Sus scrofa: one gene and its partners. The protein of the gene in region 1 interacts with the protein of each later gene in a biochemical or structural test. Links are inferred from orthologs where the notes say so. Each region holds a gene or a part of one and is shown on either strand. Other genes may lie near its edges.

Region 1 (3,500 bases):
CAGTGGGTTAACCATCCAGCGTTGCCATGAGCTGTGGTGTAGGTTGCAGACGTGGCTCGGATCCCACGTTGCCGTGGCTCTGGCGTAGGCCAGTGGCTACAGTTCTGATTCAACCCCTAGCCTGGGAACCTCCATATGCCATGGGAGCGGCCCAAAGAAATGGCAAAAAAGACAACCAAAAAAAAAAAAAAAAAAAAGTTTAAAAAAAAGGAGTTCCCGTCGTGGCGCAGTGGTTAACGAATCCGACTAAGAACCATGAGGTTGCGGGTTCGGTCCCTGCCCTTGCTCAGTGGGTTAAGGATCCGGCGTTGCCGTGAGCTGTGGTGTAGGTTGCAGACGCGGCTCGGATCCCGCGTTGCTGTGGCTCTGGCGTAGGCCGGTGGCTACAGCTCCGATTCGACCCCTAGCCTGGGAACCTCCATATGCCGCGGGAGCGGCCCAAGAAATAGCAACAATAACAACAACAACAAAAAGACAAAAGACAAAAAAAAAAAAAAAAAGAAGCACAGCGGTTGACTGGAGACCATAAATAAAGTCCTTGCTTACAGCTTTAAAAAAAAAAAAAAAAAAAAAAAAAAAAAAGATTTGTAGTACGCAGATTATTTTGAACATATATTATTGAAAACATTTTTAAATAAAATATTCCTTTAAAAGTCACTGAAACAAATTCTGAAGCCCTTTTTGTAAAACTTGGATCCAAGTATTTTTAAAATACATGCAACTTTAGTTTTAGGATTTAAATTGCTCTTATAAATATAGACTAGCATAGGTAAATTATAGCTTGTCTGCCAAATCTGACCTACCACCAGTTTGGTTTAAAAAAAAAAAAATCAAAAGAGCAGTATTTCATTGCACATGAAAATTATATAAATTTTAGATTTCAGTGCCAGTAAACCAAGTTTTATTGGAGCACAGCCATGCCCATTCATTTATGTATTTGAGACTTCTTTCTGGCCACGATGGCAAAATTGGTTGCAGCAGAGACCGTAGGGATCACAAGTTTAAAATATATCATTGTAAAGTTTTGACGCTATAGTCTCCCAGTAACTTCTTATTTCAAAGAAACACTAGACATACTGAAAAGCAGTATCTTAACACCACATTTTAATCTTGCAAAAAGTGGCCAGAGTCCAGAGTTTTCATTCTAAAACAATGTAATGAGGTAAACCAAATTTTTAAAATACAGATATTGGCTTAGGTCATCACCTGGGAAATATTAGGGATTACTCTGAGGAAAACAGTAAAGAATAGGAATTTGTGCTATAAGTACACATGAATTTTACCATGATAGGTAATGAAATAAATCCTAGCGTATTTAATTTTGTTTGTTGTCATTTGAACTTATGAGATAGACATGCTGAAAATGTCTGTTTAAATTTCCTTATTACATTGACTACCAGTTACACCACAATTAAGGTTATCATTTTGATAGTTGTTTTGTAATATTAGTAGATTCTAGATTAGAATTGTATAGAATTATGTAGAAACTGAAAACTTCACAGTTTTCGTTTTTTTGTGATTTTGTTTATTACGCTGTTTGGACATCTTCTCTTCATGTAAACTAAAATTTGTTGCAGTGTTTTATTGATGCCTTTGAAATATATTTAAGCTTTATTTTTTATAAGTTGCAATAATAACCATTAACTAGATTTTTTTTTTTCTTTTTTTAAAATTCTGCCTAAGAGATTTTTTAGTAATTTTCTATGTGGTCAGCAAATGGTTGTAATGGAGAATTTTTTTGTTTGTTTTTAGAAATATCTTTTAAGCGTCACAGATCAGCATGAACAGAGATGTGAATTTTTTTCTTAATCTTTAATATAGTCAAATTTATGTGTTTGCTCTGATTGCAGACCTTGCTTGCATGTACAAGTTATTTAGTCGCGTGCCAAATGGTTTGAAAACGATGTGTGAGTGTATGAGTTCCTATTTGAGGGAACAAGGTAAAGCCCTTGTTTCTGAAGAAGGAGAAGGAAAGAATCCCGTTGACTATATCCAGGTAAGTAAGTATAGAAGATGCTCTTGATCATAAAGTAGTTTTGGCAAGTGTTTAAAAGGTCCCTTGTAAGAGCTATGTAGTACATAGTTCTGGCTTTATTGTTCCATGGCGAATTAACATGTGTAACTATCCTAAATGTTTTAGAATTTCGTAAAGCATGTACATTTAGGGAGCCAAATTCAGCTGATGTCTTTTCTTTTATTAGCTTGTCTGATGAAGACCTTTAAATAGTCTCAAGAATGAAAGTTCTTCTTTTTTGTATGCTTTTAGTGTTCTTCATGTACCTTAGTGTGTTAGAACAAAAATTAACTGTTTTAGTGAAGTACTTTTTGTTTCAGCATACTTTGTTTTCAACCAATTCTGTTTTTCATGTTTTAATATGAATAATCAGGTTTCTTTGTGTGTTTTTAAAACTAGTTTTGTTAGACTCGCCCATTCAGTCAAGGTAGTGGAAGGTGGGGAGAAACAGTGAGAAGGATCTTTGGTTCCTCTTTAAATGGAAGTTAGAATACTTCTCTTACCACTGACATTTTAAATGCAGGCTTGAAAATAACGATATAGAGGGAGTTCCTGTCATGGTGCAGTGGAAACGAATCCAGCTAGTATCCATGAGGATGTGGGTTTGATCCTGGCAAGTCGCTCAGTTGGTCAGGGATCTGGTGCTGCAGTGAGCTCGTGATGTAGATCGCACGTGCGGCTCGGATCCCGCGTAGCTGTGGCTGTGGTGTAGGCCAGCAACTGTAGCTCTGATTCGACCGCTAGCCTGTGAACTTCCATGTTCCTCGGGTGCAGCCCTAAAAAGCAGAGAGGGAGGGGGAAAAAATTAACAGTATAGAATCTGTAAGTTTAGCACTTAATGCACGTATTTATCAGCAGCAAAGTTGAAGATAAACTTCTAGTTACACGTGTAGTGTATTGTTTATAGAAAAAATATTATAATGTATCCTAAATTTCTTTATTTTTATTTGGAAGGGCTTATTGGATCTGAAGAGTAGGTTTGATCGCTTCCTCCAGGAATCGTTCAATAACGACCGGCTCTTTAAACAAACTATCGCGGGTGACTTTGAGTATTTTCTCAACCTCAACTCTAGGTCCCCTGAATACCTCTCATTATTTATTGATGATAAGCTGAAAAAGGGAGTCAAAGGGGTAAGTATTAATGCATTTGAAAATACATTAAATTGTATTTGTATATATATAAAATTAGGAAGTAAAATTGAAAACTTTGAAATACCGTAGCTATAAAATTAAACATAATTCTTTGCTATGCTTAAATATGCACTGTGATATTTGAAAGGATTGCTTCAAGTTTTTGAAATGCTCAAAGGTACTTTGACATTTCACTTAATGTGTAATTGGCATCAAAACCAACTACACAGCCATATCTGCAGAAGCTGAAGTTAGATATGCTAGAGATAATAAGGAACTAGAAAACAACTGTCCGTGGCACCTAGAATCTTGCTTGCCGTCATCTGGTTCTGGTGGTGTGTATCAGACAATCCTT
Region 2 (4,029 bases), on another chromosome or scaffold:
ACCACAGCCACAGCAATGCCAGATCCAAGCCGCATCAGCAACCTACACCACAGCTCATGGCAAGGCCAGATCCTTAACCCACTGAGCAAGGCCAGCGATGGAACCTGTGTCCTCATGGATGCTAGTCAGATTCATTTCCACTGAGCCATGACAGGAACTTCATCTCACTGATTTTTTAACACATGGCTTGAGATCCATCTGCCAAAAAAGTTCCAGATGACCACTGCCTCCTCCTCTCCCACTCTCAGCAGGGTGACTTTTTTTTTTTTTTAAATATAATAGGCCAAGTATACCCTCAAAGTAGTATGTGGTAAGACTCTAGGAAAGGCAACAGAATTAAAACGGAGCATCATTTTACAATTCCTTCTCCTTCTTACTCTTATTTTGCCTACCTATTTATGAGCCTATTTCCACCTCTCTGACCTAGAATCTTTTCACTCTCCTCTCTCCCCTAACCCATCTTCCCTCATCTCCTTTCCGCCTACCTCTTTTTTCCTCCCTGAAACTTGCCAAACTCACTCCAGACAGTTTCTGCACTAGCTACTCCTTGAACTTGGAAGGCTCCTCCCCTATCTCTGCATAATGGGCTCCTTTTCATTCGAAGCTCAGCTTAAGCGTCACCTCCTCCGAAAGGTCTCCGACTATATCTCAATCAGACACTTTCTATCACATCACTCTTGTTTCCTTCAGCACTTATCAAAATCTCATTTGCTTATTTATCTGTCCCCACACCACCTCCACTCTAACCTAAGCTCCAGGGCAGCGTGGACCTTACTGCTGTGTTCACCTTCACAGACCCATTGCCTGAAATAATAGCTAGCAATTAGTAGCCAGTCAAGAAAAGTTTGTTGATTGAATGAATTTTGGAGTTTTTAGTCAATGATTCCAATTCAGCTAAAATGAGAAAAGTAGTCATTTTTTTCTTCTGTTACATTTCTGTGAAACATCTAAACATGCCATTACTTGTACAATCAAAGCATTAAATATTCTGTTTTATCAGGCTTGAAAGCCCCGATGAGTAGAATGGAACCCATGTTATGATAATTTGTCTAGCAATAAGCATATAAATTCAGTTGCAGAGGAACAGGATTTATGGACTTTTTCTAATCAAATGATCCCTAAAATTTGGGCACCAACTCTTCAAGTTCTTCAGAAAACACAGCTCCAGATTCAACAAAGAATTTATTTCCAAATTTATAATCCAAAAAAGATTTCCAAAGAAAATATCAACACCAAAATAGGAATCATCACACTTCACTCTGAAATCCCTACAAAAGGCTAAAGTAGCACTACATTTTTTTCCCCCTTAAACCAACAGAATATCAACGGAGATCTTCTTCTTCAATCATTCTTTGCAATTTTCAAATGATTTTTTTACATCCCTTATTGGTTTACCTTCTTCCTTAAAACAAAACTAAACAAGTCACAATGTCTTATTTAACGCCACTTATATACAAACATTCAGCTAAATAAATAAGATGGAAATCAGTACAAGCCAAATGTGTCATCGAAGACTTGTGTGCCAGACACACAAGTGGAGAGAAAGATAAAAGAGCTATTGTCAAATTGTAGAAACAAAAAAGTACATGGGGTTTTCTCTTCTCCAAAGTGCATTATGAAGTGTGGGTGGAGAAAAACACAGAAATCCAGAATTAGCCTAAGATCAAAACATTCTGGAAAGAGTTGACAACATTTAAATTCCTCACATATAAAGTATTCAGAGGAAGAGACCTTGATTCCTGGACTATGATGCCATTCAGGAATCCCTGCAAGGCTTTGGAATTCCAGTATTCTTAGGAGAAAATGCTTATCTTAATCGGGAGCGACCGGGCATTGAGAAGTACTCCCAAAGAGACACAGCTTGTAACTGAAGTATTACAAAGCTTGAAGTTAAGATCTGGGATAGAAGCAGAACACCAAATTCAAAAGAAGGTACCAAGACGAAAGGGAAAAAGAAAAAGAAAAAAACACGATTACTACTTAGCCACGGAGAATTAAAGTGGAAAGGAGGGGTATGCATGGGGGAGGATGGGGGTGGGGGAGAATAGAAAAAAACAATACATTTGTCACCCTGTCCCACTTCCTATACAGGATACAGGCAAAGCTTCCAGCCCCATTACCTCAGGCACAGATGGTTATCGTTTACAGCAAAGGTGCATAGGAAGGCCTCCAGGTCTGAGCCCCTTAATTCCAGGGCTGTTAATGATTAAAGAGAAGGATGGGGGTGGGGAGGGAAATGAGGGCGGAGGAGCTGGAGATTCACCCACCACCTCCTGCTTGGGCTCCTACCTCACTGCACTTACCAGGGGCAGAAGACTAGAGTTTGCACTCCCTCCAGGGCAGCTCCGGCCCCCAGAGCCCCAGGCCTTGGGTGGCGGGTGGGGGGTGCCGGCGGTGGAGGGGCAGAGACAGTAGGTAAGTTTTCTGAGCCTGGGGCTGACACGCCACAGGGCCCCCTCACAGCGTCTTCCTCCAGCGGGACCAGTCCAGACAAGGCGCCGATTTCCACTCCTCCCCTTCTACCCCCCTTTCTCGAAGGTACCCAAACCCCCGCCCCTTCATCTCCCAAAGCCTCCCCTTTTCCTCATACACCCCCCAACCCCCAAACTCACAGCTGCTCCAGAGGTTCCTCCAGTCAAACCCTTTCTGGAAACGACGGCGGCCCGGCAGGTCCAAACCACCTACCATCCCCGCTCGCGTCTTCAAGCACCCTACCCCCACCGCCGCCGCCGCCTCTTCTTCCACCACTGCCGCCGCCTCCTCTTCATCTGCGGCCCACCGGCGGCGGCCGCCCCGAAACCCCGCCCCCTCCATCGCCTCCTGCATCATCACTTCCGGTAACCCCGCGGGCCGCCCGCTCCGGGAGGCGGAATAGGAGAAGGGCGGGGAGGGAACGAGGGGCAGGTTGCGTCACGACGTACGCAAAGACGTACGAAGCCGTCGCCAAGTAAGGGCAAAGACCTAGCGACGCGGAGGGAGGGCTAGGAGGAGATGGACTGGCCCATTTTCGGGGGGGGGGCTGGAATCCGGGGGAGAGGAGAGCGGAAGGGGGAAAGGAAAAATAAGAAAAGGTTGAACTTGGCTATAATTGTTGCGAATACGGTGGAGGGTGGTCTAGAGTGTGACGTTTAAGGAAGGCTCTAGCCTACCCCCGACCTGGTACGAATGCTCCCACGGAGGTTCGTCTGGTGGTTTGGTCTGGCCTGGCCTACCGGACCTGCTTAAGCTCTGTCGACCACGGCTCAGCTGGGCTCCCGGCGCCGCCTCCTCCCAGTCTGCCGTAGGCTGCGGCGCTTCTGTGGGTGGGGGAAGGCTGGACTGACGCAGAGTGAGTGTAGAGAATGGAGACGCTGACTCCTGGCGCGGGAGACTGGGGGAAGGGGTTGGCTCCCAAGGGGCAGGGATGGGTGAGGGTGGGGGGTGCGACGTTGCTAGGAGACGAGCCTGTGTGACCCCAGCCTCGCGAGGGCGGCTCGGTGTCCCCGCTGCTGGCGTGGGGAACCTGCCAAGGGAAGTGGCTCCAGGGCCAGGAAGGGGAAGCCTGGTTTGGGAATGCTGAAAATGCTGGTTTGGGGACCATCTGGGATGTCTGAAACCTTTGGATTCCCGAATGTCAATGGGAGATTAGTAGGGGCAAATTAGTAGGGCGAGGGAGGAAGGTTGACAGGACACCGATACTTTCTAAGATAATGAGAACTAGCTTCTTAGTGCAAAAGGCGTTGGTCTGTGATTCGAGTCTGGGAGAAAGTTAAAAAGTAAATCAATAAAAAATATCAGCAAGTGAGGAATGCCCCAAAGATAGTAATATCAGATGAAGTGGTAGAAGATGGGGTGAGGGCCACTTTAAATCCATAAAGCTACTCAGAGGAGGCTGAGTTTTGCAGAAATCCGAGAAAAGAAGGAAGGTAGGGAATGAGCTTTCTAGGTGGTGAAAAGAGCCAATGGGCAGGGATCTGAGGAAAGAAGGGAAGAAGGCCAGGTGCTTGGAGTAGGAAGGAATAAAAGCAAGAGCCAGGCAGAGTGGTCTGT
Region 3 (4,102 bases), on another chromosome or scaffold:
CCACGTGGCCTCTAGATCACTGTGTCCCTCAGGGGTCAGGACGGAAAATCGGGGGCCCGGGTGGGGATGAGGTCTCTGTGCTAAACACCTAGAGGGTACAAGCCCCGGGACGCGTGACATTTATTGTCCCTAAGGTAAGTCACCGCCCTCACTTTACACACACAAGTGGAGACTCAGAAAGAAGGGACAGGTCTAAGCTGGCCTGGCTGGATCCGCAGACCCAGAGCCACACCCTCTGCCTTAAGGAAAAGTGTGCTTGGCACCCCCAGCTCTTGACCAGGGCTCTGCCAAGAAGCCATTCTCCCTGGCAAGGCTCCCCCACTGGGTGCTGGGCCCAAAAGTGGACATCTTCTGGGCCTCAGCCACCCAGGCCTGGGAGGGACTGAACCCTCGCTGGGGAGGGGACTCCCCACTTCCCCGCTGCCACCCACAGCTGGTACTGCGCTACAGAGGCTGCCAGTTTGGGGAAGAGGCCCCTGCTCCACCAGCTGCGGACTGTAAGCCCTCCCCAGTCATCTGAGATACGGGATCAGCCAGAGAAAGAGAGCCGTACTGCCTCCATGCCCACAGCCACCCTTGCTCACAGCTGGCTTCCTGGGAGGCCAGGCCATCCCCTCCCACAGGGGAGGCTGCCAGCCCCACTGGCTCCCACTATCTCTGTGGGGTTTTTTTCCTTTCTTTTTTGGCCATCCCATGGCATATGGAGTTCCTGGGCCACTGCCTCTGTGCTTGTCACCGCAACCCCCCCCCGCCCCCCGCCGCCACCAAGAGCACCCAATGGAAGCACGGCCAGTCACCTTGGCAGAGTCCCCAGGCCCAGCCCGGGCAGAGGTTTTAGGATTCGATCCTGTCAGGGATGAGAAGAGGCAGGAAATGTGGAAGAAAGGTGATGCCCCCTCCAGCTGGGAGAAATAACTTTGGAGCTCCATGGAAGGCCCTGGCAGGCCGCCCAGGACAGGGCTGGGGTGTGGGCCCCGGGCAGCCCCCTGGACCAACTCACCCTCCTCGGCCATGTCCTTGTCCAGCACCAGCTTGCCGTGCCGGAGGAAGTTCAGGATGGGCCCGAAGTAGGTGGGGTCTCGGTCGATGAGGTAGGCCCCAGTCTCATCCTGTGGGGGCGAGGGGCACAGGCGGTCAGAGGAGAAGAGCGAACCCCCGCTCCCTGTCTGACCCTGCACACCCCCTCCTCACTTCAGTCCCAGTAAAGGATCAGAGGGAGGGCAGGAAGAGGCAGAGGGTTTGCTCATCCCCAGAACAGAGGGGCAGGATGGAATTAAAAGGCTTCAGGGTCAGGAGTTTCCATGTGGCTCAGCGGGTTAAGAACCCAACTAGTATCCATGAGGATGCAGACTTGATCCCCCACCCCGCTCAGTGGGTTAAGGATCCAGTGTTACCCTGAGCTATGGTGTAGGTCACAGTTGTGGCTTGGATCCTGTGTTGCTGTGGCTGTGGTGTAGGCCAGCAGCTGCAGCGCCAATTCGATCCCTAGCCTGGGACCTTCCATATGCCGTGAGTGCGGCCCTAAAATGAAAAACAAGCAAACGAAAAAAGCCTTTGGGGTCAGACACACCTAGGTTCAAATCCTGCCTCTGCCTTTTCCTGGCTGTGTGACCTTGGGCCAGTGAATGGGCCTCTCTGAGCCTTACTCCTCTCCCCCATAATGAGGGGACATTGTGAGCATCCAGTAAGGTCTGAGTGGCATCCGACCCAGAGTAGGGCTCAGGGATTGTCCCTCTTAGAGGCTGTTTCCTGAAGCCAGCTCTAAGCTGTCTTCACTAGATCCCCGGTCATTCTGGGGATGTTTACAAGTTTCCAAAGGAACCGCTCTCTCATTGGATACCCTCAGCCTGCAGGGAGGCAGGGCGGGCATCAGCACAACTCTACAGAGAGAAAGCAGAGACATCATCAGGTGAGGGGACTCGCCCAAGGTCATAGCATCAGAGGGTCTGGAAATGGGATGGAGGGAGCCTTTGAGGTCATTGCCTGACCAGCCCCCTGGGGTTGCAGGCAGGAGGCTGAGCCTGGCGCAGGGAAGTATCTGACCCAGAGTCATGCAGGCAGTTTTAAAGCCGAGATGGGAACCCAGAAATGGTGCCCCAGGCCAGCGCTCCTCCCAGATGAAGCCCAGCTCAGAACACACCCTGGGGTTTCTCCACCCAGCTCCTGGCACACCAGGCCACCCACACCCCAAACGGCGGGGAGAAGTAGCCTTGCACTCCTTCTGTGGTGCAGGAGTCCGGTTTGGGCAGGAGAAAAGGCCCTAGGGGTCTGTCCCTCCCCCCAGTTCCAAAGCAGGGTGAGAGTCCCCATCCATCAGCCTCCGGGGTTGGGAGCCCTGGGCACAAAAGCTCCAAATGGCCGCAGCCTGGCGTTGTCCTGTTGCCACGGCAATGGCACATCCCTCACTCTCCGATCCACTTCCTTCTCCCGGGCTCCAGCCAGTTCTTCCCGCCTCCAGCTCTTGGAAATAAACCCGGCCGGGTTTCCAGCCCCGAGGGGGTGCCAGGCCGGAGAGCCAGATTCCAGCGAGCGAAGGATCCCCAGCCCGACAGCCGCCCACCCCGTGGGCCTCACCCGGTCGGACTGCAGCTCTTCCCCCTGGCACAGGCGGCTGAGGAAGGACTTCTGCTCCCTGCATAGCGTCTGCCGGGTGGTCAGGAACACCGTGCCCCCCACGTTGAGCCGCACCCACTTGCCCCAGCCGCCCGCCCCCGCCGGCGGCGCTGCCTCGCCGGCCTCCATCCTCATCGCTCTTCCCAGCGTCTGCATCCTCCCGGCGAGGCGGCTGGAGGCGGGCAGGTACCGCGCGCAGGGCATGCCGGGAGCTGTAGTTCGCACCGCCCCCCGCAGGTGGAGCCCCGGCTGAGGGTCCCCCGACCCCCGCGATCCTGCCTTCCCCAGTCCTGCCCTCCTTTACCCTTCCTGGAAGACCCGCAAGCGGGTGTCTCTTAAAGAAGTCCTTGGCCAAATTACTCTGGAGAAGGTCAAGTTGTTATTTTTCTGTCATTTTTTTAAAGTTGCGTTGAAGTCTAGTTGATTTACAATGTGAGAATTTCTGCTGTACAACAAAGTGATTCAGTTGGACATGCACACGTCTATTCTCTTTCGGACTCGTTTCCCACATAGATGATCACAGAACATTGGGTAGAGTTTTCTGTGCTGCACAGGTACGGGTTGGCCAGTCATTCATACCTCAGTGCGCATGTGCCAATCCCAACCCCCTCCCCCCCCCGACCATTCCAGCCCCACCCCCTCACCAGAAGTGACGGTCAAGTTCCAAGTCACTGGGAGAAGAGTGAGTGAGACCCCAAGCCAGCAATCGTCCTCTTTGGTCTCCCAGCATCATTTTCCTTTTGTCCAATATGGGTTATCAAACAGCTGACATGAGAAGAAGGGCCAAGGGCTGAAGGGAAGCTTTCCTCCTTAATTTCCTTTCCTTCTCATGGTTTCAGTCCTGGTCCTGGAGTAGGGGGAGGACCTGAGACTTTGCTCCATGATGCCAGTGTCACAATGCCAGTGTCACACCCACTGGCCCCGCACACTGGGCAGCCTGGCCCTGCACTGGGGGAAAGCTTATAACTCCTCCAGCTCTGCTTTCCCCTTGGCAGGGAAAGTGGCACTGCTACCAGACTCCTGCTCCTAGGAACTTGTGTTCTCTTAAGCACAAGTTCAAGTGTGAACTTGAGCAACTTCCCCCCTGAACTTCAGTTTTCCCTGAATAGAGAATTAGAATAGTTGCTACTGGGGAGTTCCTGTTGTGGCTCAGTGGGTTAAGAACCCCACACAGTATCCCTGAGGATGTGCATTCAATCCCTGGACTCGCTCAATGGGTTAAGGATCCCACGTTGCCACATTTGTGGTGCAGGACACAGATGTGGCTTGGATCCAGCATTGCTGTGGCTGTGGTATAGGCCAGCAGCTGCAGTTCCGATTCGACCCTTAGCCCAGGAACTTCCATATGTCGAGGGCCTAAAAAGCCAAAAAAAAAAAAAAAAAAAAAAAAAAAGAGAGAAAGAAAGAAAGAAAAGAAAAGAAAAAGAGGAGTTCCCATCATGGCTCAGTGGTTAATGAATCCGACTAGGAACCACGAGGTTGCAAGTTC
Region 4 (3,500 bases), on another chromosome or scaffold:
TACACATAGTTACAAATTTTGTTTTCTTATGAGGAGAACTTTTAAGATTTACTCTTAGCTACCTTGAAATAGGTAAAACAGTATTATTAACTGTAGTCACCATGCTGTACAGTACATCCCAGGACTTCTTTATTTTATAATATTTTATTAAAATAATTAATTTTATAATTATTTTATAAACTTTATTTATTTTATAACTTTGTACCTTTTCGCCATCTTCACTCATTTTGTCCACCTCTGACTCTGACAACCAGCAATCTGTTCTCTATATTTGAATTTGGGTTTTTGTTTTGTTTGTTTTTTGGTAGATTCTTTATACAAGTGAGCTTATATGGTATTTGCCTTTCTCTCTCAGAATTTTTCACTTAGCACAATTCCTTCAAAATTCATCCATATCATAGTTTGTTTCATTCTTACTGAGTCACAAAAGAGGCCTAGCAATGATGTAATTACTGCATGGGCAATCTGATAACATAAAAAATATGAGAATTGGGAAAAAATAAGAAAAATTCCTCAATTTTTGGACTAGGATAAGACATAGCTAAGGAAGGGTTAAACTTTTATTTAAGGTGACATAATGCTCATGCTTTATTGTCTGCTTTAGAACCAGATAATAAGGAAAATATCTCATTTTGGACTCTCTATGTAGCCATTTCCTTAAGTCATAATTTTCATAATGTATCTTAAAAGTATTAAATTTTGTTTGGGTATTTCAGAAGGTTAATGAATGACCTTTTCTTTTAGTGTGAAACAGATATTCTCCTCTGCTTACTGTCTTGAATTATGGGTTGGTACTGGCACATTTTAGTCAAAGAAGCAGCTCAAACATTCTTATACGTCTTTATATTCATGCATTGCCAAAAATTTTCTTCAGAGGAGGTTCTGAGTAAATGTTTTTTTTTAATGGATAGGTTCAATTATTATACAACCTAGTGATTCATATTAATGTTACTTTGTTTTTTATTTCTTAATTCTATTTTGTAATATGCTTTTAAAGAGTATTTTAGAATTTTTAAATTTGGTAATAGATATTTTGCTTTATTAAAGATATGTCAAAATTCAAATTTGGTTGTTTGCAGAAAATGTTATGGTATATCCATAGATGCCTTTAACACAGTGGCTTATGTTTTATGTTGATATTAAATTATAACAATAAAATATATAAATTATTTTTGTCTTTGAAGGTCCTGATGAAGTTGTAGGGCCAGAAGGAATGGAAAAATTTTGTGAAGACATTGGTGTTGAACCTGAAAATGTATGTTTTATTTCTAAGTAGAATGGAATACAAGTGGGGTATAGCATATTCATAAATTTATAAAAATTGGAACACTTTAATCTTATAAGAAAGTTTTGTTTCTTCATGAATATTGTAGATTTTTATTTAGGTTTTTAAAATCAGTTTAAGTTGGGCATGTGTGCTTTTTCTTGATACAAATGTCATTTGCAGTAGACTAAGAGATTCTACTTTCAGAAACTGTTAGAACGTTTAGCTTTTAAGAAATTGGCCCATTTAAATTTCTTTAGAGTTAATAATTTCAAAGATTGTACCCTGTAATAAAGTTGAAGGATGGACATAGTTTGTATAAAAATGCTCTCCATTATAAAAATAGACATGATTATCTCTATTGCTGACTTTTCCCCTATCCTTTATGTTCTGTTCTTTCCAGATTATTATGTTAGTTTTAGCGTGGAAATTGGAGGCTGAAAGCATGGGATTTTTTACCAAGGAAGAATGGTTAAAGGGGATGACTTCATTACAGTAAGAATTTTTTTTAAAAAACAAATTTGATGGCCTATTTGAAGATCCTAATTGATATTTTGTGTTTTGTAATTTTCAGGAGTAAGGTTTCACCTTAAATTAATCAAATTGGTTTGATCTGTAACAGTCAGTTTGAGATTGACAGAATTTATATTGTGATCTTTGCAAAATGAATAGCTACCCTTTTTTTCATATTCTCTAAGAAAGAACCTAAGTATGGTCCTATTAAAACTCATTAAGTTTTGTTGGGTGAATTAGCAGTTCATGATTCAAGTTACTTATAGGATGTTTGAGTGGTAAGAGCCTTCCTTCTTAGAATATAGAATTCTACTACATGAAGAGTTTGTTCTTTGGGCAGTCCTAAGTTCTGGGGCCTCCTCTCTGTCTTCAGTTTTATCCTTAAAAAAGAAATTTGAAGAGGGTTACATGACACTTTTATCATTTCTTTTTTGCCAAATGAATCTCATAAAGAACAAAAGCAAGTTATAAAATTGCTTCTTTATAAAAATAATCTGACTTTGGCTTTCCAGTGTAAAGTGTGCATAGTTTCAGAGTCAATTAGTAATTTTTATATTTTGTCATTTCCTGATGTTCATGCATTATTGTTATTAATCAACATTCTAAAGTAGTTAGGGCAAGCATTAATTTATAGTATTTTTGAGCCAAAAATGGGGCCTTTCAAGTTGTGATTATACTTTTATTAATATACTTAACCGTTCTTTACTTCTTGTTTGCCTGTCCTTAGATTTCAAAATACCTGGTTATATTTTTTTTAAGTGTATTTGTTCATATGGAACTTAACTATTTAGATTTGAATTTTTCAGTGTCTAATGTTTTGTAGTTCTCCTTTTTACCAGCATTGACATTTAGATAGTATAAATATATATACACATATATATTTGTTCAGTGTAAAAACCTTTACTCATATGAACCATAATTTCTAGAATAAGACGTAAGATCACCCCTCTCATTTTCATTGTTTATAGGTGAGATGAGTCTGAGACTCAAAACAGGTGAAGAAAATTTTTATCAAAGTTTACATGGTTCGTGTATCTAATCACTTGTGATGCAACATGATGGAGGATAATGTGAAAAAAAGAATGTATGTAAATGTGTAACTGGGTCACTTTGCTGTACAGCAGAAATTGACAACACTGTAAATCAACGATAATTAAAAAATTTTTAAAAAGATGCATTAAAAAAAAGGTTTACATATGGTGGAGTTCCTGTTGTGGCTCAGCGGAAATGAGTCTGACCAGCATCCATGAGGACACAGGTTTGATCCCTGGCCTCGCTCAGTGGGTTAAGGATCCAGCGTTGCTGTGATCTGTAGTGTAGGTTGCAGATATAGTTCGGATCTGGTGTTGCTGTGACTGTGGTGTAGGCCGGCAGCTACAGCTCTGATTCAGTCCCTAGCCTGGGAACCTCCATACCTCTGTATGTCACGGGTGTGGCCCTAAAAGACAAAAAAAAAAAAAAAAGTAAACCAGCTATAATGGAAAAAATAAAAATCATTATTAAAAAAAAGTTTAGGAGTTCCCGTCGTGGCGCAGTGGGTTAACGAATCCAACTAGGAACCATGACGTTGCGGGTTCGGTCCGTGCCCTTGCTCAGTGGGTTTACGATCCGGCGTTGCCGTGAGCTGTGGTGTAGGTTGCAGATGCGGCTCGGATCCCACGTTGCTGTGGCTCTGGTGTAGGCCAGTGGCTACAGCTCCGATTCAACCCCTAGCCTGGGAACC
Region 5 (3,500 bases), on another chromosome or scaffold:
GCTGTCCAAGACAGCAGGAGCACAGCGGGGGCTCTGCCTGGATGCTCCCCTTAGGTGGAAGGCCTCTATCCCTCTTTCTCAAAATCTCTATTACTGTCTGTTCAGTTAGGGGCCCAAGGGTCCCAGAATGACCCCAGTCTGTCCATGCTCATCTCTGACTTGTCTGTATTACAGACAGAAGCCTGAGTCCCCTCAGGCCCCGCTGCCCAGGGCAGGCACTAGAGGCATCTCAGGGAGATGACTCCTGTTCTGGAGTCAAGACAGCCCCTCGGCAAGCTGCTTATTAACCCTGCTTATCCTCATCATATCAGCTCTAAAACGGGGATAATAGTTATCTTGTAGGTTCTAGTAAGGATTAAAGGAAGCGATCATGCAAAGCACTTGGCCTAGCGCCTGGCACCTAAGAGGCACTCAGTTAAGTGTTATTTATTAAAAGTAATAAAATCATCATCATCTCCCCAGGCGAGGCTGCTCCCCCATCCCTCCACCTGGGTGCTTCCTTCTTCCTCTATCATCTACCAGCTCAGACTAAAATGTCAGCGCCCCTTCGCTCTTGCCCCTTGGGCAAGTTACCAGACTAAGCCTCAGTTGTCTCATCTGTAAAAGGGTAATAATAAGAGATCCTTCATCTAAGGGTGGGGAACAAGAATTAGTAGCTATCACAGAGGGAGAGCAAGTGATGTAACATCTCTCGTATGTAACAAGCACCTATGAAGAGTGCTTATTACAATGCCTGGCCACAGCAGGCATTCAATAAATAACAGCTTTCTCGTGATAATAATATCCCCTTAACCAATATCCATCACCACATCAGCACCTGACAACAGAGGGGGTCTCCCCCGCCTGACTTAGTCTGACCCAAATCTACCACCAGGGCAAGGGGCTGGGCTCTCTGGGAAGCCCTTTCTCCCTCTCATGTGGCAAAGCTCCCTGCCTGGTTCTCATCAGGTTCTCATCATCCACTAACTACCCATCCTCTAAAGTCAGAATTGGAACCAGACCTGGAGCTGTGGCCTCAGGTCATCTTATCCAACTGCAACTTTTAGAGTGGTCTGGGTCCCAGAGCTGGGAAGACACTGCCTTCTAGCAGAGCTGTAGCAACAGAAGCCATCTTTCTGAGCCCCTCTGCAGGGCTCTTCCATTCTGCACGTGAGGAGCTAGAGAGGAAAGAGCCACACAAGCCATACATACAGGTCTCAAAGTCCCCTGGGCCGAGTATCCATCCGCAAGGCTCCCTGCTGGCTGGGCCTGTCTCACCTCATGCTGCCTGGAATCCCATCACCAGAGTCCAGCTCTGATCCTGGAGCCAGGCGTTCCAGGCTCCCTGCCCAGCCAGGCCACAGAAGGGGTGGGGAGTGGGCCCGTGCTGAGGGCAGCACTCCCAGTGCAGTGGGATTATCTGGTAGTCAGAGCCAGAGAGAACCCCTTGCTCCATCTCAGGGAGTAGAGAGAAAGGTCCAGCTCTGCCTGTGCACCGAGGCCCTGCCAGGCCCTCACCTTGCTGCAGCTCTGTGTAGCTAATGGAGCCTGAGTGGTCCCGGTCATACTGCTGGAAGAGGTTCTTCCACTGCTGGATGAATTTCCACAGGGCCGAGAAGCCGTAGACGTCGATACGGCCTGTCTTGGTCTTGTCAAACAGGTCTTGGGGAGAAAGGAAAAAAGGCTTCAGGACTAAGGGCCAAGGGTCCTCAGGTACCACGGAGGCAGCCTTCTCCACAGGCTGGAGCAGGAGTCGCCACAGAATCACAGGCTGAGGCCCAGACGCCGCTCCCGACACCCGCCCCTCCCCCACATCGAGTACCACAGCAGCCCCTCCTCTGCCAGAACCACATCCCTCCCCCGGCTTGGCAGCTGACCCCTCCCTGCCATCTCCTACCAGGCCAGGGGGGCCCATCCTGCAGAACGAGAAACTGAGCTGGTCTACGACTCAGCAAGGTCTAGAACTTGAGAAAAGACCTAAGGAAAAGAGCTCTCGATCTAAGGGATCTCACCTTGAACCCAGCTTCCTGCCTGAAGGAAAGCATTCTCCTCAGAATGGCCTCCCACCCGCCTTCCATCAGACAGGAGGGGGCTCTGCCCCAGCTCGAGCCCTTGGGGAAAGGCTACGACTCACTTATCATCATGAGGCACGTCTCGTCGTTGAATGAGGACCAGTTGGAGTTGACCAGGGCCTGCTTCAGCTCCTTGATGGAGATGTAGCCACTGTGATCAGAGTCCACCGACTGGAACCAGGAGTAAGCCTCGGGGTCCACATTGGGAGGGGCTCCACCTGCAGGAAGGGGTGCCAACCAGGGCCATCAGACCCAAGTCTCAGGACCAATCTGCAGAGACGCTGGGAAGGGCCAGCCTTGGTGCCTCCCTGGAGACAAGCTTTCCTTACCCAGAGAGCCTCACAAATCTGCCTACCCCCCACCACCCCCGTCTTCCATCAAGACTACACCCTGACTCTAATGGAAGAGGACCTTCTGTGTAAACTCACGGGATCTGTGGTTGATTTCTCCTCCACGAAGCCTGAAGGAGCTCCAGTCACTTCTGTATTCGATTTTAAGTTTCTAAGGAATAGGGACTTGTCTGGCAGGTTAAGAATGCTCTGAAAGGGGGATTATCTCTTCCCCACAGACTAGGGACCCAAAACTATCTGCTGAGCACCTAACATGCACAGCCCAGAGGCAGGTACGAGAGTCCCAGCAGCAGGGAGCTCTCTGGCCTGGGTGCCAGGTCCAATGCATCTCTGACGGGCTCTGACTGGCACAGGGAGATGGCATGTTCTATCCCGAGCTGCCTGAGTGTGGGTGGCCATGGAGCCCCATCTCTCTTCCCTCCCTGTCACCTCTGATGCTCGTCCCCATCTCCAGACCTCTCGAGAACATCTCTGACACCTTCTCATCCCAGAGATCCAAAGAGCTACCCAAAGCTGGCAGCGCCACACACTGGTATCAACCCTACCCTGTTCCTACTGCTCCTGCCCCGATTCTGACACCCCTCATCTGGCTTATGAACAACCGCCGATTCCTAATCAAATCATCCTCAAAGCAACTCTCTAACACCGAGCATTTGCTGTTGAGTAATCTCAGTAAAATTCCACTCTTTTCTCACCAATTTCCCCCCACCTCAACTCAAAGCTCTTCAAAGGCTTCCCACTGCCTACAAAATAAAGTCCAGCATCCCTAAAGCAGCATTCTAGTCCCCCTGCAATGCGGTCTACCCCCGTCTACCTGTCACGCTGCCCCCACTGTGCTCCAGCCTAGATGCAGCAGGATGCTCGCTCCTACCCAGAACTGCACAGCCCCCCGCGGAGCCTTTACTCCCCGGGTTCTCTCCCTTCTCCCTCAGCTCTGTGCATCCACCCTTCAAAACCCAAATAAAATGCTCTTCCTTCCCTAAAGGCTTCCCTTGCCCTCCATCCTTTTGCAGGCCTCCTTCTTCTCTCCTTTGCACTCCGTCTCTTGAAGGCCCTGATCACCCCACAGCATACACATTTTTTCCTGCTCCCTCGAGGT
Region 6 (4,080 bases), on another chromosome or scaffold:
TATGCAGTACACCCCAAAACTTAGTGGCCATATGCTACCACTAGAAAAGAGATATCTAGATTCCCGGGACAGTGGAACTAAGTGACCTTTATCTTGTTAGTTTGTACGAGGGCTTGAAAGATAAATTTTCTTCAAATGGAATTTAATGTCAAAACCACAGGCGGAGTTGTGGATTCCATAATACTAATGTTGTCTTAACTAAATGTCACACAGCTTTCTAGGAGTGGAGGATACAGCTCAGAACCAAGTGCCCTGCACTCTGAAACTGAGAGTGAAAAGAAAAACTTCCAGGTAAACAAATACATTATTTCCTTGCACTGTAACAGTTATGCAAGCACCTACAGGCATTTAGAGACACGGCAGAAGGATTACTGGAGAGAGAAAAGTTAAGAAGGATTGCGTGGCAGAGAGCTCTGAGCTGTGTTTTTAAATGTAAGTTTAAACTCCCAGTCCGAAAAGTCAGGGGAGAGCTTTTCAGGCAATGCTAGCCACCTTATGCAAAGTTTCAGGGTAACTAAAGAAAGATGAAACTGGAGAGGTGAATTGTGATGCCCCCCCTCCCCTTTTCCCCCAGGGGGAAAAAAATTGAACATCTATGGTAGACATTGAGGATACAACAAGGAGCACACCTGGTCCCTGTGTTTTGGAACTTAGAATCTAATGCGGGGGGGGGGGGAGAATAACTAAAACAAGCAAATAATGAAATAATTAAATACCGTTTGAACTCTTGGATGACAACCAATACTCCCCCTAGATTAATTCAGTCTCGGAGCAGAGTTAGTTCCACAGAGCAATGCAGAAGATTAAACTGTAAACTATTATAGCAACTGGGTACTGGACATTTTCGGGACATTAATAGCGCCTAGAGATGTTAATTTTTACAAACACACCAAGGCATGACCGTAGCCATCCACGAGTTTCCACAGCTTCATATGATCGCTAGAGAACGCCCAAGAGAAGCTTAGTGCCCAACCACGAGCCCATAGGATTTTACACATGTGCGGTGATTCATCTGAAAGTAAACTAGGATGTCATGTATTCTCTCAAAGCCAGCATTCAGAACTATTTATCTCAATTTTTCCAGACATCCTTTTTTTTTTTTAAGTCTTTCAACAAACTTACTGCATTTAAAGTACCTGCACCTACATAAAAACAATTCTTTCTCCCATCCCCGTTTAAGGATCTATTTTTAATATGGCGGAGGCCGAGCCTGCGCAGTACGAACAAGGAAGGTCAATTCGTTTTCTGGCATAACGTTACATGCCCTTCTTCCGGTGCGGAAGGCTATACCATTCCTTACATAAACGCTGTTTTTGTCTTAATTCACACATATAATTTTCCAAGATAATATGTCTTCATTTAATCCACAAGGAGATTCCTCTGTCTCTAACTATTGTGTAACTGCTGTTTACACCGTCGCGTTCCGGAAGGACCCCCGCCATCCTCGAATGGTCGGTACCAACTTCACCTCCGGTTCTAGGTGTCATGGCTGCCTCGAGAGTCTAGTACCAGTTTGCACCTGCGGTGGGGTGGGTCTGAAGCCCACACCCGGAAACCTAGCGAGGTTGAAGTTGCGTCTTGGTTGTAGGGGCAACAACTTCTCCGAATCCTCTGCGATGGCGGCTTCTGGGAGTGGTATGGCCCAGAAAACGTGGGAATTAGCCAACAACATGCAGGAAGCCCAGAGTATCGATGAAATCTACAAATACGACAAAAAACAGCAGCAAGAAATCCTGGCGGCGAAACCCTGGACTAAGGAGTGAGGAGGTCCCTGGCGAAATGCTGGGGAGGGAAGGGTGGCGGGAGTTTAAGAGACCCAGTAGGGGTGGGAGCTGAAGCGGGGACTGGGCTTGTCTTTTCTTGTGCAGGGAAGAGGAAGAGTAAGCGTCTGAGAATTTTTGCTTTGCCTTTTTATCCGCGCAAGTTGAGCGTAAGTCCCTCCTTTGGGGCTCGCTTGACTCCCCTTTCTGTCTCTTTAACCCGTTTGCCTCGGGAGAATGGAAAAGGAAAACGGCAAGCGGTGATTTGGGCTTTTACTCCTCAACACCCATACCGTCACGTATGCTACACACTCTGCCTTGAATCCTGTGTCGGTATACACTTTGTTGGGACTTGCAGCAGATCTTAGACTGGAGACTGTAGCTGTCTTCAGAAATTGAGCCAGCCCAACGGTCTTTAATTAAAAGCCATCGTTTAGATCTGTAATTGTTTTTCGATTGCTGGTAATTATTTTAGAAACACCGCGAGGTTCTACTTAGTCTCCCAAAATGTTAGCAAGTTCACATAAGCTACAAATTAAATCAATAGAGTTCTTTGCCATTTAGCAAAACAGCTGTGTCCCTGAGAGTGATGACAGATCGAGGATTCTTTCCCACAGCATTTATCCTTTCCTGAGAGCAGATATTGTTAGAGATAGAGTTAAAAGAGCACCGTCTCTAACAGAGAGATAGATGGGAAAGCGGTGGTCAACAACAAAAACCATGCTTCATCTGTCCCACAAGGCAAGCTTTAATTGTCATTATTCAGATTCAGCAATGTTTATTGAGTACTTACTAAGGACTGAGCACTGAGTTGGTTTGCCTCACCTGCTCTTTCTATAGCAGGCTGTGCATTTTAGGTTGATAGAGCCTATTAAATATTTGGAAACTATTAGCCTCGCTGTGTGATTGTATCTCTAGTTATATACAACCTAGCTGTCTTGAGCCACATCAGTGAGACCAAAATGTAATTTTATTCAACAGTAGTTTAGTCACAACCACAGATGAAAAACTTAAACAGTGATCATAGCAGAACTAAAGATAAGGCTACATTTTCCATTTTGAGGCTGATACCACAGAAAGAAGCCACAGCCCTCAACAGACTTCTTTGAGAGTTCTGTAAAAGATAGGTTGATAATGCTAACAACAGCTAGCATTTAAAAAGTTTTAGTATGTGTCAGGCACTAGGCTAAGTACCTTATATACATTATTTCATTTACTTCATTTCCTCCTAGCAACAGCCCTGTGAAATATCCCTATTTATAGATAAGGAAACAGGCACAGAATTAAGTGAATGTCTCAAGGTCACAGCTAGGACATGGTAGTGCAAGGATGCAAAGGTAGGCAGATGGATGTCAGAGCCCACATTTTTTTGGAGGGGGCACACCCATGGCATACGGAAGTTCCTGGGCTAGGGGTGGAATCAGAGCTACAGCTGCCATTCTACACCATAGCCTCAGCAACACCAGATCTGAGCCACATCTTCGATCACACCTACTGTGGTGATCATTCCACAGTATATGTAGTACATCATGGCAATGCCAGATCCTTAACCCACTGGGCGAGGCCAAAAATCGAACCCACATCCTCATAGATATTAGTCAAGTTTGTTACCACTGAGCTGCAATAGGAACTCCAGAGCCCACATTCTTAACTGTTAGGCCAAAACGTTAGGGCCTGAGAATAATGAGGTAAATCCATCCAACCAGTCAGAAACCAAAATTTGGCACAACCTTGTAAATCAACTCTAAATTTAAAAAGATTTGGTGATACCAAAATTAATGGAGAAAAAGTCTACTGAAGTGGTCATGTAAGAATAGCATATTAAAAAACTTTTTCAGAAGTTCTCTGGTGGCTCAGCAGATTAAGGATCCAGCATTGTCACTGCTGTGCCTTGGGTTCAATCCCTGGCCCAGAAACATCTGCATACTATGGGTGTGGCCAAAATAAATGCCCACTATTTCATAGTGTTCCCTTTCCCCAGTGGGAAATACCTTGCAAGGTTATGATGTGTTTCCATCTCCCTTTTCTACTTCCTCCTTCTTTCCATTCTACACTCTTCCTCCCCATTCTATCAGTGTTAATTCCCTCAATGCTTGTTAATCTCCACAAAAACTGTCTTGAAATTCTACTTTATGTAAGAAAGTTAATTACACCATGCTTTTGTTTTGTAGTCACCATTACTTTAAGTACTGCAAAATCTCAGCATTGGCTCTGCTGAAAATGGTGATGCATGCCAGATCAGGAGGCAACTTGGAAGTGATGGGCTTGATGCTGGGAAAGGTGGATGGTGAAACCATGATCATTATGGACAGTTTTGCTT
Region 7 (4,225 bases), on another chromosome or scaffold:
TGACAGGTATAAAATGATAGGGATATAACGTATTAATGAGACATTAGGAATTAAAAGGGATGCAGCACATTATAAAGGGAGTGATGTGTGGTGGAAAAACTGGTTCTTGTTCTTTCAAATATCTTGTTTTGCCCACAACATTTAAGGCTATGATCTGAAACCGAAATTTCAGAACCCTGGAACTCAAAAGCCTTGGCTGTATAAGTCTAAAATCAAAACGACTGTTTTGTTATCAGTTATTTGTGGTGTCATCTATTCTCCGAGGCGGGAGGAGTAGGATGCCCTGGCCGCGGGATGGCACACAGAGAAGTGGTGTATGTGTTGTGGTTGGGGTTGGAGGGAAAGGTCCTCCATTAATATCTCAAAATATTTTTCTGCTACAATAATACGGTGAGTATGACGAGTGGGTTTGAAAGTCTTAAAAAAAAATGGTCGGCACTCATGAAAATGATGCGAATTCCTGACTTAATAAATTCAATGGTCAGAAGTCTTCTAAATTAACGTCGTCCTCCACCAAATAACAGCCAGTTTTGCTTTTCCGGACCGCTTCTTAGCGTCAATGACTTAGGCTCACTTAGCTAACGCTTATTTGTCCTTTGAGGGCTAGTGACTTGGCCCCTGAACCAGCCGCTTGCCAGACTGAGCCCAAAGCGTGGCCCTTGGTTTCCTGCCTGAGTTCTGGGGCGCGCGTAAGTGTATCACCGACAATGAAGCATTCGAAGCCTTTAGAATAGCCCATCTGTGATGAAGAAAGAAGTGTGTTGACTCTGGAAAAGAAGTGCATTTCGAAAAAGGGGAGAGGATGGATTGTTGTACAAGAAAGAATTTGTTCCTCACCAGAGGGTTTGCTGTAAATGAAGATGCGTCGATTCTTTATCCAGGTTCTAGCTGTAGGAAACAGCAAGAGAAGTCTCAGTCGAAGTTCAGCGAGGACTCAGCTCCTGCAGAAAGCCGTTCCGAGGCGTGCGCGACAAACAGGAGATCCCGACGAGTAGCGTGGGGCGCAAGGGAAGAGCTGACTCTCCTACTCCTTGCAGCGGGACACAAGCTGCCCCAACTGCTTTTCCCCTTCTCGGTTCTTCGGAAAACACTTCGCGTGCTTTGTTTCAGACGCGGACCCATCTTTCTCGGTTGGTCTGGGCTCCACCAATCCCACCCGCCACAGGGCGGGGCTTCAGGGTCAAGGTGGGCCAATTCCCCAGCCTCGCCTTTACACGCGCTTTCGGACCCCCGGGGCTGAGTGACAGCGGCCGGGTCCAACCTGCTATTCCAGAGCATGGCCTCCACCAGGGGCGTTACGGGGACGAGGCGCCGGGACCAATCGCATTGGAGCTCAGGGGGCGGGGCCTCTTTGCCAGCTCTAGACCGGCGCTCTCCGCACTCCTTTTGTCAAATGAGAGCGGAGGAGGGGCGGTCCCTCAGCTGATGTTCAGCCTATGGAGGAGGCGAGGTGGGCGGGCCGGGAGTGCCTGGCGGCGGGTCCTCAGCTCCTAGCCGAGGTGCGGCGAGCCGGTGGGGGGACCGCGAGGCGAGCGCGGGAGCCGGGGCGGCGAGCGGGGTGTGAGCTGCCCGAAAATGCACTCGGATGCCGCCGCTGTCAGTGAGTAACAGAGAGCGAGCCGGCCGGGGCCGGGCGGCTGCTAACACTCTCCGCTAGTCTCCCGCAGTCCCCGCCCCGTGCCTCCTGTCCCGAAACCAGCCGGGAGCCCCTGCCCGGGAGCCACCCCTTCCCCTCCCGGGGCCGGGGCGGGCGGTGACGCTGCGGGCGGCGCGGGGCGGGGGCAGGCGTGGGGGGAAGGGGCCGGCCTGCCGGGGGAGGGCGGAGGTGAGGGGGTGGGGACTGGCTCCATTACAGTGTTGGGGGAAGGGGGGGCGGGACGTGCGATGAAGGGCCGGGACCAGAGTGTCCGGGGTGAATGGAGGTGGAGGCGGCGGCGGGCGCTAGCGAGCAGGGCTGGGGGTTGGTACCGGCGGGGGCAGAGGGGGAGGGAGCGAGCGAGAGAGCGGGGCGCAGGGGTGAGGATTTCCTAGGAGCTGAGCGGTGCGGGCGGCTGTGAGAAAGGCGGGTGAGTGCTAGGGGAGCGCGGGGCGGGGACAATGGGAAGAAGGGCTGGATGGCAGGGGTGGGGGGGGAAACAATGGGGTGGGGGATTGGGGGCAGCGGCCGAGCGGGGCAAGAGGGCGGGCTAGCAAATGAGAGCTGATGTAATGGGAAAGCGAGATGGTGGGAGGGATTGGGGTGTGATGGGATAGTTGGGGAGTCCAGCGGGCGGGAGGGCCATAGGAAGCGTGGAGGGGTAATTGGGAGTGGTGAGAGGGGGGCAAACGTTGGGATAATAGGATGGAGCAGGTGTTGGGAAGATAGGGTAATTGAGAGTAAGAGAGGAAGGAGGTGGGGAGGGTTTGGGGTGACCGGATGGGGGCAGGGGTAGCGGAGGTGCAGTGGGGGTGAAGAGCTACTTGGGAGGGGCCGGGGCAGGGAGAAGACTATCTTGTCCAGATTCGGTCCGCGCGGGGCTGAAGGGGAAGATGTGAGACTCCGTGACTGGGGGAGGTGTATCCTCCCCCAGATTATGGGCAGGGTACCTTGAGGGGGAGCCCTAAGCTTCGGGATGCGAGGAGAGGAGGGGGCGGGGCGGAGGGGGCGGGGGAGGTGCGCTGGCCGCGGTTCCCCCGGAGCGGCGGGAAGCGAGGTCAGCGCTGGCGCGGGCTCTGCCTGCGGAACTGGGAGGCGGGGCAGAGGCGCGCGCTGCGGGCTTTCCGCGGCTGGACCCGGAGGGGTCGGACCCTGAAGGCCAGGGGCGGTATGTGGGTGGTGGTGGTAGGGTCCCTGGCGGTCCGTGGATTTGGCAGTCTGTGACGCAGTTGTCTAATTTCTGGTCGTCAGGTGTGGAGGCTGGTGCCCCGGGACCCGGTTCCTTGTCAGGAGAGTCGGACCACAGGCCCAGCGCAGCGCCCTAGGGGCGCGACCTCTCCCAGGCGTGGAGGGAGGGCGCTTTAGGGGTTTCCTTTAGGGTCTGGCTCCAGTCGCCGGGTGTGAAGGGGAAGGCAGTCCCGCAGAATTCTGGGACTTGTAGTCCGGGCCGCGGTTGGATTGGGTGCACGTGGGTAACTGTGGAAACGAGTCCCAGAATGCAGCTCGGCCCTCGGAGCCTTCCAGCTCTGTTAACTGGTGCCTTATTCCCGGCGGATCCGAGCGCGCTCTGAGGAGGCGCTCCTGTTCCCTGGGGCTTTCTCCCTGTGTCAGCGGGTGGGGGAGAATCAAGCCAAGCTCAGCCCTTTCACACTTGGGCTCTACATTCCCCCCTCACACCCCAAGTTGGTTATTTCCCCCTGCATTTGGTGGCCTTACTTGCAGAATAAATGCTTATCTTGAACCATCTAGTACGTAAGTTATGGAAAAACATGCAAGATGCAACACAGTCAAAAGGATGGTGTGTGTTTGTAGCATCTCATGTATGTAAACACTAGGTTAAAAGGTTCAGTCTTTTATAAATCTGAGAAAGCAGTGGAGACCCGTGTAAACCTTGTGGAGGTAGTTTAAATTATGTGTTTGTAGTTCTTGAGCCGTTTGCATTGCCGAAGGATAAGGGAACTTTTTGAAAAAAGATGGTCTTGAAATGAGTGTTGGAGGTGGATTAATAGAATTGAGAGTGGACTTAAAACCGTTCATTTAAACCAGCGTGAAAATGTGAAAATGAATGAAGGGAATATATGATGTTCTCAGTTTTCAAAGAAGCATGGGAAGCAGATGAGATTAGAGGAAGGTAAACTCAGTGGAGGACCTTAAGTTTTCGTGTGTTTTTGTTCTTTGATATTAGAACCAATCCTGTCACTCTGTAGACTCTCAAGACATTATTGCATCCTTTGCCAGTTCCCTTTACCATTTGTATGCCATGACTCCAAAATCTATAAGCAGATGCCATCAGATTAGCTCAGAGATGACAAGACTATTTTTATGTGATGTATTAGGTATGAAACTACTGGTAGCATGGTCACTAGAAGAGTATTATAATGACCCTAATGATAAAAATTTTACCAAGAAGTCCAAAGATTTGGAAACTATCTAGTATGGTTACAAATATACTGAACTTGAGTACTTGATTGAATGATCATTCTTTTCATAATGGCTGAAAAATTGGGCAATGTGTGGTTTTATCAGGAAAAGATTTACATCTATCTTATATTTTACTTAAGCTTTTGGTGGAATATCCAGGACACTCTT

What was found.
Region 2: the proteins of CUL3 (region 1) and DCUN1D3 form a complex in vitro, tested with the Homo sapiens proteins (3 studies listed by BioGRID, with this or other methods). The link is inferred for Sus scrofa from reciprocal best matches to the Homo sapiens genes CUL3 and DCUN1D3.
Region 3: the proteins of CUL3 (region 1) and KCTD17 form a complex in vitro, tested with the Homo sapiens proteins (3 studies listed by BioGRID). The link is inferred for Sus scrofa from reciprocal best matches to the Homo sapiens genes CUL3 and KCTD17.
Region 4: the proteins of CUL3 (region 1) and DCUN1D5 form a complex in vitro, tested with the Homo sapiens proteins (2 studies listed by BioGRID, with this or other methods). The link is inferred for Sus scrofa from reciprocal best matches to the Homo sapiens genes CUL3 and DCUN1D5.
Region 5: the proteins of CUL3 (region 1) and PEF1 form a complex in vitro, tested with the Homo sapiens proteins (2 studies listed by BioGRID). The link is inferred for Sus scrofa from reciprocal best matches to the Homo sapiens genes CUL3 and PEF1.
Region 6: of the proteins of CUL3 (region 1) and COPS5, one has a biochemical effect on the other in vitro, tested with the Homo sapiens proteins (2 studies listed by BioGRID). The link is inferred for Sus scrofa from reciprocal best matches to the Homo sapiens genes CUL3 and COPS5.
Region 7: the proteins of CUL3 (region 1) and DCUN1D4 form a complex in vitro, tested with the Homo sapiens proteins (2 studies listed by BioGRID, with this or other methods). The link is inferred for Sus scrofa from reciprocal best matches to the Homo sapiens genes CUL3 and DCUN1D4.

Annotation. Positions count from the first base shown.
Region 1 is NC_010457.5:126,217,649-126,221,148, reverse strand, and holds part of CUL3 (cullin-3), read left to right. Parts: intron 1-1,850; coding exon 1,851-1,996; intron 1,997-2,968; coding exon 2,969-3,145; intron 3,146-3,500. UniProt on the Homo sapiens protein: Core component of multiple cullin-RING-based BCR (BTB-CUL3-RBX1) E3 ubiquitin-protein ligase complexes which mediate the ubiquitination and subsequent proteasomal degradation of target proteins.
Region 2 is NC_010445.4:25,150,272-25,154,300, reverse strand, and holds the start of DCUN1D3 (DCN1-like protein 3), read right to left. Parts: upstream 2,801-4,029; 5' UTR 2,613-2,800; intron 2,416-2,612; exon of another isoform or gene 2,289-2,415; intron 1-2,288. UniProt on the Homo sapiens protein: Contributes to the neddylation of all cullins by transferring NEDD8 from N-terminally acetylated NEDD8-conjugating E2s enzyme to different cullin C-terminal domain-RBX complexes and may play a role in the cell cycle progression by regulating the SCF ubiquitin E3 ligase complex, after UV damage.
Region 3 is NC_010447.5:10,716,167-10,720,268, forward strand, and holds the start of KCTD17 (BTB/POZ domain-containing protein KCTD17), read right to left. Parts: upstream 2,801-4,102; 5' UTR 2,770-2,800; coding exon 2,575-2,769; intron 1,110-2,574; coding exon 1,001-1,109; intron 1-1,000. UniProt on the Homo sapiens protein: Substrate-adapter for CUL3-RING ubiquitin ligase complexes which mediates the ubiquitination and subsequent proteasomal degradation of TCHP, a protein involved in ciliogenesis down-regulation.
Region 4 is NC_010451.4:33,697,646-33,701,145, reverse strand, and holds part of DCUN1D5 (DCN1-like protein 5), read left to right. Parts: intron 1-1,184; coding exon 1,185-1,255; intron 1,256-1,667; coding exon 1,668-1,759; intron 1,760-3,500. UniProt on the Homo sapiens protein: Contributes to the neddylation of all cullins by transferring NEDD8 from N-terminally acetylated NEDD8-conjugating E2s enzyme to different cullin C-terminal domain-RBX complexes which is necessary for the activation of cullin-RING E3 ubiquitin ligases (CRLs).
Region 5 is NC_010448.4:88,153,328-88,156,827, forward strand, and holds part of PEF1 (peflin), read right to left. Parts: intron 2,270-3,500; coding exon 2,114-2,269; intron 1,642-2,113; coding exon 1,259-1,641; 3' UTR 1-1,258. UniProt on the Homo sapiens protein: Calcium-binding protein that acts as an adapter that bridges unrelated proteins or stabilizes weak protein-protein complexes in response to calcium.
Region 6 is NC_010446.5:67,739,248-67,743,327, forward strand, and holds the start of COPS5 (COP9 signalosome complex subunit 5), read left to right. Parts: upstream 1-1,280; 5' UTR 1,281-1,349; coding exon 1,350-1,759; intron 1,760-3,931; coding exon 3,932-4,080. UniProt on the Homo sapiens protein: Probable protease subunit of the COP9 signalosome complex (CSN), a complex involved in various cellular and developmental processes.
Region 7 is NC_010450.4:38,981,260-38,985,484, forward strand, and holds the start of DCUN1D4 (DCN1-like protein 4), read left to right. Parts: upstream 1-1,425; 5' UTR 1,426-1,575; coding exon 1,576-1,600; intron 1,601-1,969; exon of another isoform or gene 1,970-2,066; intron 2,067-3,154; exon of another isoform or gene 3,155-3,384; intron 3,385-4,225. UniProt on the Homo sapiens protein: Contributes to the neddylation of all cullins by transferring NEDD8 from N-terminally acetylated NEDD8-conjugating E2s enzyme to different cullin C-terminal domain-RBX complexes which are necessary for the activation of cullin-RING E3 ubiquitin ligases (CRLs).